Linked DNA regions of Mus musculus. The protein of the gene in region 1 purifies or fractionates together with the protein of each later gene. This does not show direct contact. Links are inferred from orthologs where the notes say so. Each region holds a gene or a part of one and is shown on either strand. Other genes may lie near its edges.

Evidence for each region. Proteins that work in one complex are often made in the same cells at the same time.
Region 2: the proteins of Maged2 (region 1) and Nap1l4 purify together in Homo sapiens (affinity purification with mass spectrometry; 3 studies listed by BioGRID and IntAct, counting the BioPlex papers as one, with this or other methods). This does not show direct contact. The link is inferred for Mus musculus from reciprocal best matches to the Homo sapiens genes MAGED2 and NAP1L4.

Annotation. Positions count from the first base shown.
Region 1 is NC_000086.7:150,810,884-150,816,519, reverse strand, and holds the start of Maged2 (melanoma-associated antigen D2), read left to right. Parts: upstream 1-2,174; 5' UTR 2,175-2,291; exon of another isoform or gene 2,292-2,318; intron 2,319-2,812; exon of another isoform or gene 2,813-2,904; intron 2,905-3,257; exon of another isoform or gene 3,258-3,447; intron 3,448-3,517; exon of another isoform or gene 3,518-3,782; 5' UTR 3,783-3,804; coding exon 3,805-3,849; intron 3,850-4,205; coding exon 4,206-4,697; intron 4,698-5,337; coding exon 5,338-5,636. UniProt on the Homo sapiens protein: Regulates the expression, localization to the plasma membrane and function of the sodium chloride cotransporters SLC12A1 and SLC12A3, two key components of salt reabsorption in the distal renal tubule.
Region 2 is NC_000073.6:143,545,918-143,551,605, reverse strand, and holds the start of Nap1l4 (nucleosome assembly protein 1-like 4), read left to right. Parts: upstream 1-2,485; 5' UTR 2,486-2,564; exon of another isoform or gene 2,565-2,579; intron 2,580-2,659; exon of another isoform or gene 2,660-2,869; intron 2,870-5,425; exon of another isoform or gene 5,426-5,477; intron 5,478-5,688. UniProt on the Homo sapiens protein: Acts as a histone chaperone in nucleosome assembly.

The sequences.
Region 1 (5,636 bases):
CTTCATTAAATTCAATAGTATGCAAGGTTCTAATTCTGTTCCTCCAGAGACCACAAGTGAATCAACATGGAGTTCTAAATGTTAGAAATTGTTAACAGAGCACACAGAAAGCAGTTTCATGGGAAGAAGTTCCTAGGTGAGAGAACACATCTTCTGATAGTAAAGTGTGTTGTTTAACTGGTATATGGGCAACTAGATATAATTTTCAGAAGAAAAAGGTTGGCAAATAGAGATAGGTGTTTCTTGAAAATCCACTCACTGTCATGAATACCAATATGACACTGAGAACCACCAGGAAACTGGGGCACAGTGTAGACTCGAAAATACAATGGCTGAATGAGGCATACATGTTTCTCATTAAAGGAAATTCAGCAAAGTTGTCAGGAATTAAGTTCTTGTTATTTACTGCACTACTACCCTAAAGTATACAAGTGCCAATTTCTAGATTGATACCCTCTACTCGGACCTTTTTCTTGATTCTCAGACAGGCTTATCCAACTGCCAATTTGACATTTCTACCTGGATGTACCACCAGTGCCATAAAATCAATGTTCTTTTCCTTTTTAACTCCATTATTCCATGACTCACTGAAAGGGTCACTATCTGCACTATCTGTTAAAGAAAGATGCCAATATTTGACTATGTTCCTCCTTCCAATCCACCCCTCCACAATCCAATTACTCATCAAGTCCTAGCAGTCCACCCCGCCCCCACCAATCTCCTCACTATCTCCCCTGCTAACACTCTAGGCCAAACCACAAGCACTGCTTGTTTGGATGACTACCAAGGTCATAGCTATGCTCTCTAGTTCCAAGAAGACACTTAATCCCCATACAACACCTAAGATCTTCTAAAACACACACCTACAACATCTATGTGGTGACCAGCTGTAGGGTGCTTTCATAGACCCTCAGGACCCTCAGGTTTGAGAACTTTATTTTCTTGGTATTGGAAGTTTTCCATAAGTTGGATAGGATAGGAATTTGGGGCACCAGAATTGGAAGAAAATGAGAGACTATTCATTTGTGCTCAGCAGAGAGAGCCTAGGAGATAAGAAAGTAGAAGGGTGACATTACAAACTTGGGGGAAGTAACAGTTTATAGGAAATGAAACGAATATATAAACCCGCCTTGATGATGTGTGAAAATGTATGTGAATCAAATTGTCCATAAAGCCATAAGGATTGGCTATCTTTCATTTGTCCAGTATGGGCAAAGGTGACCTCAAGAAGCAGACTTCTGACTATTTGTGTATAAGAAAGATCTTGAATTTTATTTCTATAACTACCGTGAATTATAGTTTATAATAAGCTTTTTCTGGGTCTGCATTCACCTGCTCTATTGCTAATGATATTTTGTCTACTTCTCTTTGTCTTTACATTTTATCTTGTTCTCATGAAGACACCCAGTTGTTTATGTGAATTTATCAGGCAACAGAAGTGCCATTTCAAACTAGTGAAAAACGTTATTGAGGGTGAATCTGTCAATGCCATAATAAAAGTCATTACTTTGTACAGTTAACTTACGCTGAAAATGGTAGTTTTTTCAAATGAATTGAATCAGCAAAACATAATAAAACAACAAAACAGTCCAATATAGACACCAGGATGGTCCTTGTAGCATTGTTTGTAATAGTTCGAAAAGGGGGAAACAACCCAGAAAGTACACGAAGCTGAACTAAGTAAATAAATTATAGGACAGTTATACAAGAAAACATTATACATTTCTAAAAAAACATATGCTAAGGGAAAGAGGTTTGAATATATAACTTGAAAAAAAGCAGTTACAGAACAGTAGGTAACTAGTATAGCCGGTGTAGGGAGAAAGTGCACATAATCAGACTACAAATTAAAAAATTAATGGAGGAATGTCTATCAAAGTACTCAATGTCATGAGTATTTCTGAGGAAGGAGATTAAAGATAGCTTTTAATTTTCTGTTACATATTTCTGCATTTCTCTGGTTTTCACATGACAACACACTACTTTTGTAGTAAGAAAAATAACGATATAAAATAAATAATTTCAATGAATGAATCGTTTTCGTGGGGGCAGTTTGGGTTGGAAGGGCTTCAGACCGAACCTGGTACAGAGGCATAAACATGGGCTTTGGCGTCAGACAGCATTGAGCAGGGCCCCATTGCCCCACCCCCGAGGAAGGGGGCGGGGGGTAGGGGGCTGCGGAAAGGGGCTGGGCTGGGCTGGGCTGTCTGCAGCTCTAGTCCAGGAGGCTGAGACTTCGAGAGGGACTGAGAGGAGCAGGCACACGCATCCCAGACTCACTGGAGGACAAGGTGAGGGAACAACATTGGGCTTTCCTGGTGAGCAGACAGTGGTTCTAACTACCTGAAACCTATAGCTGGGCAGGTGGGCAATTCTTATTTGACCACTATAGCTGGAGCAGAAGTGCTGCATTTGATGCGGTGTGAGAATGAGAACGACCAAGAAAGTAGTAAGCTGTATATGAACTGGACAGCAGAGACTGGCAGAGGTGGAGGGGAGAAAAAGGGGAACTGTGCATGCTTGGAGGAGAAGGAAGAATATGGGGAAATAAGAAGGGGAAGGCGAGATCCAGGGACAAGAATAGGGGATGCAGAGAAGGGTTAAGGGACACTGGGGAGGGGGGTTGCATAGGTAACACAGAGAAGGATGTAAGGAATGGGAAGAGATTTCTGTAGAGTAAATAGGAAATGCGATGGGAAATAGGGAGTCCGGAGTTAGGCAAGGGAATAGGGAGGGGGGGAATAAGGAGTGTTGAGGGGGGAGGGGCAGACGGGCTGGGACGGAGGCCCCCTAGGGAGGCGGAAAGGGGCGGGACCACTTCCGGCCTTTAGTGGGGAGGGCAGTATCTGAGTTTCGGAGGGGCTTGGAGAGAGTGGACACACTCGGGAATTGTAGGAGGACGAGGTAAGTCATGGGCCCCAGCTTTGGATGAGAGCCTGCTAGGGGTCGGCCCCACCCTCTGGGATCTGGAGAAAACCTGCCTTAAGAGCCAAATCTTACCGAATCCATCCAGCTAGGAAGGGAGGGGACTGGACCCCGTTTGGCTGGGCCTAAGATGGAATCACTAGTTCAATCCTGAGTTGAGGAGGGGGTGTTACAGGGAAGGAGCCAAACCAATTTGGGTTTTACCGTTTGGAGGGGGGCGTGTTAGGATAAAGGGCGGGACCTGGAGGCTCTGTGAAATTGATAGGGTGGTTGTGAGTAGGGGAGGGGCTAGGACCACCAGACACTGCGACAATTTGGATGGAAGGTTTGTTGGGGAGGGGGCGGGGCTGAACAGCATTGCGGACCTGGAGAGGGGCGTGTATAGGAGTTGGGTGCTGGACTGAGACCGTGGACATTGCGCATGCGCTTTATGTATAGCTAGAAAGGGGCGTGTTGAGAAGGGCTCGCAGAGACTGGGCCAGCTGCTGAATGCGCATGTGCACGGTGGACTTCAAAGAACGGGTTTGTACTGGGAAAGCAGGCGGGGTTGAAAGGGCGCTGCAGAAGACGCGCATGCGCACTCTAAGCCTGCGGCTGGGGGGGGGTGCGCTGGGAAAAGGGGGCGGGGTCCTCAGAGCTGCCGCGCTGGCACATCTTCCTGGAGGAGGGGAGGGTGCGGCTGCAGAGAACTGAGACCTAGAGACAGAATTTCTGTATCTGAGCACCTACTGGTTGGGGCTCCGGGAGGGGCTGGGCTTTGGGGCCCTAAAGAAGGTGAGGATCAGCTTCTAGGCAGAACAAGGGATACGACGTTCAGCGGGCTCTCCACTTGACCCAGGCCTTCTCTTTGAACTCAGCTTTGCTAGGTGAACTTGAGACATGTCTGACACAAGCGAGAGTGGTGCAGATCCAGCTCGCTCTCAGGTAAGACCGATACCCCCCCCCCCCCTTTCTTGCTGCTTGCCTTTCAAGCCCCTTTTGCTGCCCTAAATCCTTGGAGCTTCTCCTCCCATCCTTGTCATTCTCCACCCACTTCTTTGCCTGGGTGCATCCCCTCTCCCCAGTGGAGGGGAGGCCAAGAGGAAGGGAGAGAGGGTGGGCGGGCCCTTGGTTCTGTCATTACTTTTTAACTGGGAAGCCTGTTTAGGCTGGGGTGGTCAGAGCACACCACAGGTAAGAGTCTTTACAGGTCAGAGAAGTGTAGCCACCTAATTTTGGGACCATTTGCCTTGTTGAGGGGTGGGAAGAAGGTCAGTGAACTTCCTTGCTTTCCCTTGCAGGGCAAAGCTTCAGAAAAGGACAGCGGCTCCGTGATGCAGGACCTGTTGACCGTGACCCAGAACTTGGAGGTCTCAGAAACACCAAAGGCAGAAAAGGCACCAGAGGTTTCAGAGGCTGCAAAGGCTCCAAAAGCCTCTGGGAACCCAAAGGCGACAGAGGTCTCAAAGGCCCCAGAGGCGTCTGAGGCAGCTGCCACCCAGGCCTCACCTACCACACAGCTGAGTGAGACCCAAGTTCTGGCAACTGAAAACAAGAGTCCAGCAGCTGACACCAAGACGCAGAAGTCTGACCTGCAGGCTATGACAATGCCTACAACCCCGACCAAAAAGGTCAGCTGTGGTACCGATCCAAAGGTCAATACAAAGGCTCCGGAGACTGAGGCTCCTGCCTCTCAGGCTGGGACAGATGAACCAGAGCCTGAGGGTACAGCTGTCCAGGTTCAGGAGAACCAGGATACTCGGCCCAAGGTCAAAGCCAAGAATACCCAAAAGGTAAGACATACCCATCCTTGCTTCTCCACAATCTTCTTGTTCATTTGTCTGCCAAAATTAAAACAATTCCTGTGTTCCTGAAAGACCCAGCGCACACTAACAGGAGTGTGTCACAGTTCTTGTATCCACAGAGCTCACAGGCTGGTGGGGAGATGAGGCAGGCATATACATAGCTTCATGCTGACTGGAATGCAGCTTTTTATATGTACAGAGTAGCTGTACACTATAGACCTTGAGGTAGGCTTATTCACATGTGTAGTCTCATATCTGAAAGTAACTCCTTATGGTACCATTCTGTATGGCAGGAAACTGATGCCCAGAAAGAAAGAGGACTGGCTCGTCAATGGTGCTAGAAGCAGAGTCAGGTCAGGGGTGGATGTGGGAAGACGAAAGCCTCAGGCCTTATTTCTGACTTGTTCCTGATCCACTCAGGGAGGAAATTCCCAACTGGTAGTCAGTGATAAGCCCATGACTCAGGATGGCTAGTGTCCAGTGAGGCAGAGTCTTACTACAAGGGCAGGGTTGTGGGGATGTATCCTAGAAGAGACAGCGTTGGGTGTGCTTTCCAGAAGAGACTGAGTTAAGAGAAAGAGCCACCTGCACCACTTGCTGATATTGACCTTCCCCTCTTTCGATGCAGGGGAAACACCCGGATGGAGAAGAGGATGGCAACAGTGACCAGAGTCAGGCTTCAGAAGCCACAGGTGGTCGAAGGGTCTCAAAGGCCCTAATGGCCTCCATGGCTCGCAGAGCTTCAAGGGGACCCATAGCCTTTTGGGCCCGCAGGGCATCAAGGACTCGGTTGGCTGCCTGGGCTCGGAGAGCTTTGCTCTCCCTGAGGTCACCTAGAGCTCGCAGAGGCAAGGCCCGAAGAAGAGCTGCGAAGCTACAGTCATCCCAGGAACCTGAGGCACCCCCACCCAGAGATGTGGCCCTTTT
Region 2 (5,688 bases), on another chromosome or scaffold:
CCTACAGAGCAAGTTCCAGGACAACCAGAACTATACCAAGAAATCTGTAGATAAAAAACAAAAAAAAATGACTAAACATTTTATTAATGTTAAAAATTAAGTAGTGTCGGGCTGGAGAATGGCTCAGCGGTTAAGAGCACTGACTGCTCTTCCAAAGGTCCTGAGTTCAAATCCCAGCAACCACACGGTGGCTCACAACCATCTGTAATGAGATCTGATGCCCTCTTCTGGGGTGTCTGAAGACAGCTACAGTATACTTACATATAATAAATAAATCTTTAAAAAAAAATTAAGTAGTGTCATGCTGTAGACCTCCCCCCCCACACCTTCTGAGCACCTCTCTTAATCCCTATGCTTCAGCCTGTATTCAAATAGCTTTATTAACCCAGGCATGGTAGTGAATAACTTTAATCCTAGGAGGCAGAAGCAGTCAGATAGATCTCTATGAGTTAACAGGCTAGGGCTACATAGACCCTGTCTTAGAGATAATAAATAATGAAATACCATTATTAAACTTATTACCAGTTATTGGGGTCTGAGTGTTTTATTCAAGGAATTGAAATAAAGATACACACAGATTGTAAGGTAGCAAGGAAATAGTATCCAAAAGTGAATAGTACAGATCAGAAATACTCTGTGACAGGCCCACGAGGCTGGCCTTGAATTTCTAGAGATCTGTCTGCCTCTTCTTCCTGAGTGCTGGGATTAAAGGTGTGTGCCACTACTGCCTGGTGTCTTACTTAATATTAAAAAGGGGGGTTTGGGCTGGAGAGATGGCTCAGCGGTTAAGAGCACTGACTGCTCTTCCAGAGGTCCTGAGTTCAATTCCAGCAACCGCATAGTGGCTCACAACCATCTGTAATGGGATCTGATGCTCTCTTCTAGTGTGTCTGAAGACAGCTGCAGTGTACTTATATACAATAAATAAATCTTTTTTAAAAATATGTTGGGGGGACTTTTACACTGCCCAGAGCATTATTAGAAAAGCATTATGTGTAGTCCAAACCAAATAAGTCCCTGGCTACCAAACTATTTTCTATACTTGTCTGATTTAACCACATCCACTCCCCAAATAAAAATGAAGTAAAAACCTGGTGGTGCTGCTGCACGGCTTTAATCTCAGCACCGGAGAGGCAGAGGCAGGTGGATTTCTGTGAGTTTGAGGGCATCCTGGTCTACAGATCGAGTTCCAGAACAGCTAGGGCTACACAGAGAAACCCTGTCGTGGAAAAGCAAAACCAGCCACTAACCAATCAAAATGTCAGGAAAAAAAAATGTATGTCAGAAAAAAATGTAAGTAAAAACATACGAGCTTATTTACTTTCCTTAATTTTGTAAGCGAAACTGTTTATACATAGTTCCAATTTAAGAATGAAAGAGAAGTAATACAGAAAAACAATGCTGTAGACCTTCTGGCCTTCAGTAACCACACTTCATTTTAAGTTTTTGTTTTTCAGACAGGGTTGCATGTTGCTCAGACTGGCCCCACACTGGCTACATAGTTGGAAGTGACAAACTGCTCATTCTGTCACCTGTATCTCTTATCTCAGAAGTACTGGGATTGAAGGCATGCATGTTGCACCATACCCAGCTTTGTTTCCAACTGCCCTGTTCGTAGAATTTGTTAGGAAAACACACATTATCTGCAAGCAAGTTATTTATTCTTATCAGATGTTGTCTATTGCTTCAATGAAAACACCATGACCAAAAAGCAAGTTAGGGAGGAAAGGGTTTATTTGGCTTACACGTCTATATTGCTGTTCATTACTGAAGGAAGTCAGGATAGGAACTCAAGCAGGGCTGGAACCTGGAGGCAGAAGCTGATGCACAGGCCATGGAGGGGTGCTGCTTACTGGCTTGTGCAGCTTGCTTTCTTACAGACACCACCAATAAGCCCAGGGGTGGTACTACCCACAATGGGCTGGGTCCTCTCCCACCAATCATTGAGAAAATGCCTTACAGTTGGATCCTATGGAGGCATTTTCTCAAAGCTCCCTCCTTTCAGATAACTCTAGTTTGTATCAAATTGACACACAAAACCAGCCAGTACAGATGTGCTGAACTTTTCTATCAGAAGGGTAGTCCCATGCCAGGCAGGCACTGTAGACAGAGGGTCAGAAGGCCTTGAGAAGTAGGCGGTGCTTTTCCCAGGCCGGGGGAAGGCAGGGAGTTGTAAGTAATCTGGAAAGAGCGTTGCCGATGTGGTCCAGGAAGCTCAAACCCTAGAGGTTGTAACAAGCCCAAAGTCCTACACGCGCGCCCAGCAGCCCCTTTAAAGAAGCACGAACTGCGCGTGCGCCGGAACACACGTCACTACTCTAACTACATATAGCTCGCGGGCTTAGGCTGGACGCCGTGCTCCCTCAACAGATTTTGATTGGATACCGCCTTTCCTAGTGCCTGGTGCAGTTGATAAACAGCTCTATTGTCCATTCGTCGCCCGTTTTGCTCGCAGAGGGTGGAGCCCGGCGATACGGCCAATGGCAGGTGGTTTTGTTGGCGACCACGGCGGTGCAGCCCCGGAGCGAGCTTAGGACAGGCGCCACTGCCGCAGGAGGCGCGAGGTGCGGTGCTGGCGGGTAACGGCGCGGCGGGCGGCTGGCGAGGGACTGGGGCGGAGGAGGCGGAGACGGGGAGGAGTGGGCGGCGCGGGCAGGCCGACGCGCCATGGCGGCGAGCAGAGGCGGGCGGCGACCGGGTCAGAGGTCCGGGTGGCGGGTGGCGGCGGATGGCGGGCCGGTCCCTCCTCCGTGCAGCCCCGCCCCCGGCTGAAGGTCAGCGCGCTTTGTTCCCGCCGCCCGAGAACCCACGCGAAGCGGCGCAGGCGGTTCCTTGAGAGGACAAGGCCTCCCCAGCGAGGTGGGCCTGGGTACGCCTCGTCTCAGACCGCGCCTGGGAAGGAAGGGGTCTACTGGGCCGCCGCCTCGCCCTTCCGGGCTTTGCATGCTCTCCGCACAGTGCCCCGGTCTCTGAGCCAGACCTCACTCTCTGAGCCTGCGGTGGAGGCGGAGCCAGCCTAGTGACACACACTGAGCCTTCAGACCCGGGCGCCCCTAACGGGTTCAGGGTCGTCAGCAGTACCCCTTCTTCCGAGGGTATCCTTGGGGCAAGTTGGCCCGCACTTCCTCCAACTCTGCTTCGCTGCCTCTTGGAGGAATTTCCGCGGTAGCTTCCGGCGCGTGCGCTGCGGTAACGAGCATATGCATATTCCACAGCAAAAAGACTCAAGTTTAAGTTTTTGGTCCAAAAGTTAAATGCTTTTAAGTTACTGCCGCCTTCCTGTCATAGTAGTTGCTTCCTCTCGGTGACTAATCTCCGCTTACTACACACCAGGGGCTCCTTTAAGCTCCTGACGTGTCTTAACTCATTCACAATAGTACGTGATGTAGGTGCAACAGGCTGACTGTGCATTAGCAAGAAACGCCTGGGTTTTGAAGTGGTTCGGTTTGTGGAATATTTGTAGGTCTGACAGATGAGCGTACCTAATCTGGAAATCCAAAATGTGCTCGAAAAGAAGTGGGTTTTGGGACGTTCTGATTTCTTTTCTTCTTCTTCTTTTTTTTTTTTTTTTTTTGGTATAGGAGTATTCGACCTGTATTGCAAATTAAGTCCCTGATAGGTTAAGTGTGATGGTACCTTGCATCTAAATTCAAATAGATTTAATCTGGCTCAGTTTTAATAATAAATGTTTATTATTAAATAAATAACGTATTGAAACAAATATTCAGATGAACAGTAAGATTCAGAGAAAGCAGGGCTTTGATAGGACTAGAGTATAGTTCACCTGTCGGGTAGTCTACAGCTGTATCATTTTAACTAAAGTAGATGCTGTAAAACTCAGTTGTCGGTCTCAACCCCCCCCCTTAGTTGACCAATATTGGTTCACAGTGTCATAACATTTAAACACATTTTGATGTTTTAGCTTTAAATCCCGAACTGTTTTTCACAGTTAATATAGAATAGCTGGTGAAAATAATAGTGATTTTATCGTTTTTTGAAAATTCTGGAATTGTATTACCAAAGTTCTGGGGGAAAATGTATGTATTTTGGGATCTTCTCAGAAATCATGGCTTGTGAGCTGGCCATTTGGCTTTGTGTAGTTGAGTATATAGAATATACCAGTGGGCAATAAATCTCCTGCAGGGGTGGTATTCTTAGAAATGAGGTAGTTCACCACTTTGGTCTGACTTTGTACTTGAGTCTTAAAATGCCCCAGCTAAGATAGATATGGCAGTATACACCTAGATTCCCAACTGCTCTGGAACTGTTTAAAATCTGTCTTGGAAAAACAGCAAGATCCTATCTCACTTTTTTTTTCCTGTTTGCCTCTTGTTAGTGAAAGTATACTGTCCCTGCTAGCTGTCTTTATGTTGTGTATAAAAGTTTATGTTGTATTTGTATAAAAATTTAACTGCCAGTACCTAAAATTTTGGTTTTTGGAAGAAAAAAAATCCTAGACAAGAGAGTTAATTTAGGGGTGGTTAAGATCATTGTGTGCTTTTGCAGAGGACCTAGGTTTGAGTCCCATACTCATAAGGTGGCTTCTAATAGTCTATAACTTAAGTCCCAGGGTTCCAACAGCCTCTTCTGGCCTCTGCAAGTAGTGCACAGACAAGCAGGGAAACCACCCATACACATAAATAAGTTAGAAATTTAAGAAAGGGTAGTTTAAATCTGAAGGTCTAAGGGCAACTCTCAGTGTGAAATAGGCACATCAGTGAGTTCTTTGCTGCTTGCATCCAGCCCCAGGTGACCTGTTTTGAAAAAGAGGCAGTAGTAATGAGCTGTTGGGGACTTCTAGCCCGTGAGTACAAGGTTTTTTTGTTTACTTAAAAGGAAATGTAAGTGGGTGTGTTGGCTTGTATCTGTATTCCAGCTCTTAAAAGGTAGAAGCAGGAAGCTCAAGGCCAGCCAGCGCTACTGCAAGAAAGATGAAGTGCATTTAGGCATTTAGAATTGAAGCTGATGTCATCTTCATCTTGCTGCACCTATTGCCAAAGTAGAGGAAGGTACTAGGGAAATAGCAGGGACTTCCTTCTACCCTCAGCCTTTGCTAGGGACTACCTGATAGTGGTAGTATGGAGGCTTCGTAGACTACACTTGGGACCTGTTATTAATCATAGATCAGTAAGCCTGTTTTGGTGGGTAAAAATGGGTAAATAGCAGAGTCTTGGAATGGATTTTTAGGCATTTTGAAGACAGTTGATGGTAGCATAGATTTGTTTTCATCTAGCAGTCAGGTCTCCTGTCTCCTGAGAGGAAGCTCATCTGCTTTACTTTGCTCTGCTATTGAATTTGACAGTAACAGGAGGCATGTGGTATTTTTATAGTGTGAAAACTACAGAAGCTGGCTTTGTGAACTTTACCTTTTGATTCTAGCTGCTTGCTGTACAGCCTTAAATTCCTTTTTTCTGTGTTCTGTCAGCTGTTGTAACAATGTGCTTCCATCCTGTGTCCAGGAGACTCAGTCTAGTGAGGTAAGATTAGCTCTGAGCTTTATGTACAAAAAGATAATTATTATATTTATGATTTAAGTCACATTCAGTTGCTTCAGAGTAACGTGTATTATTCATGCAAGATCTCCAGCCTAGGGTCTCCAGTGTAAAGCAAATAGTGAATGGCCTTGCCCTTCCTGCAGCGGGAGCAGGTGAGAGTCAGATGTGGGAGGATACTTTTGAGACACTGGAG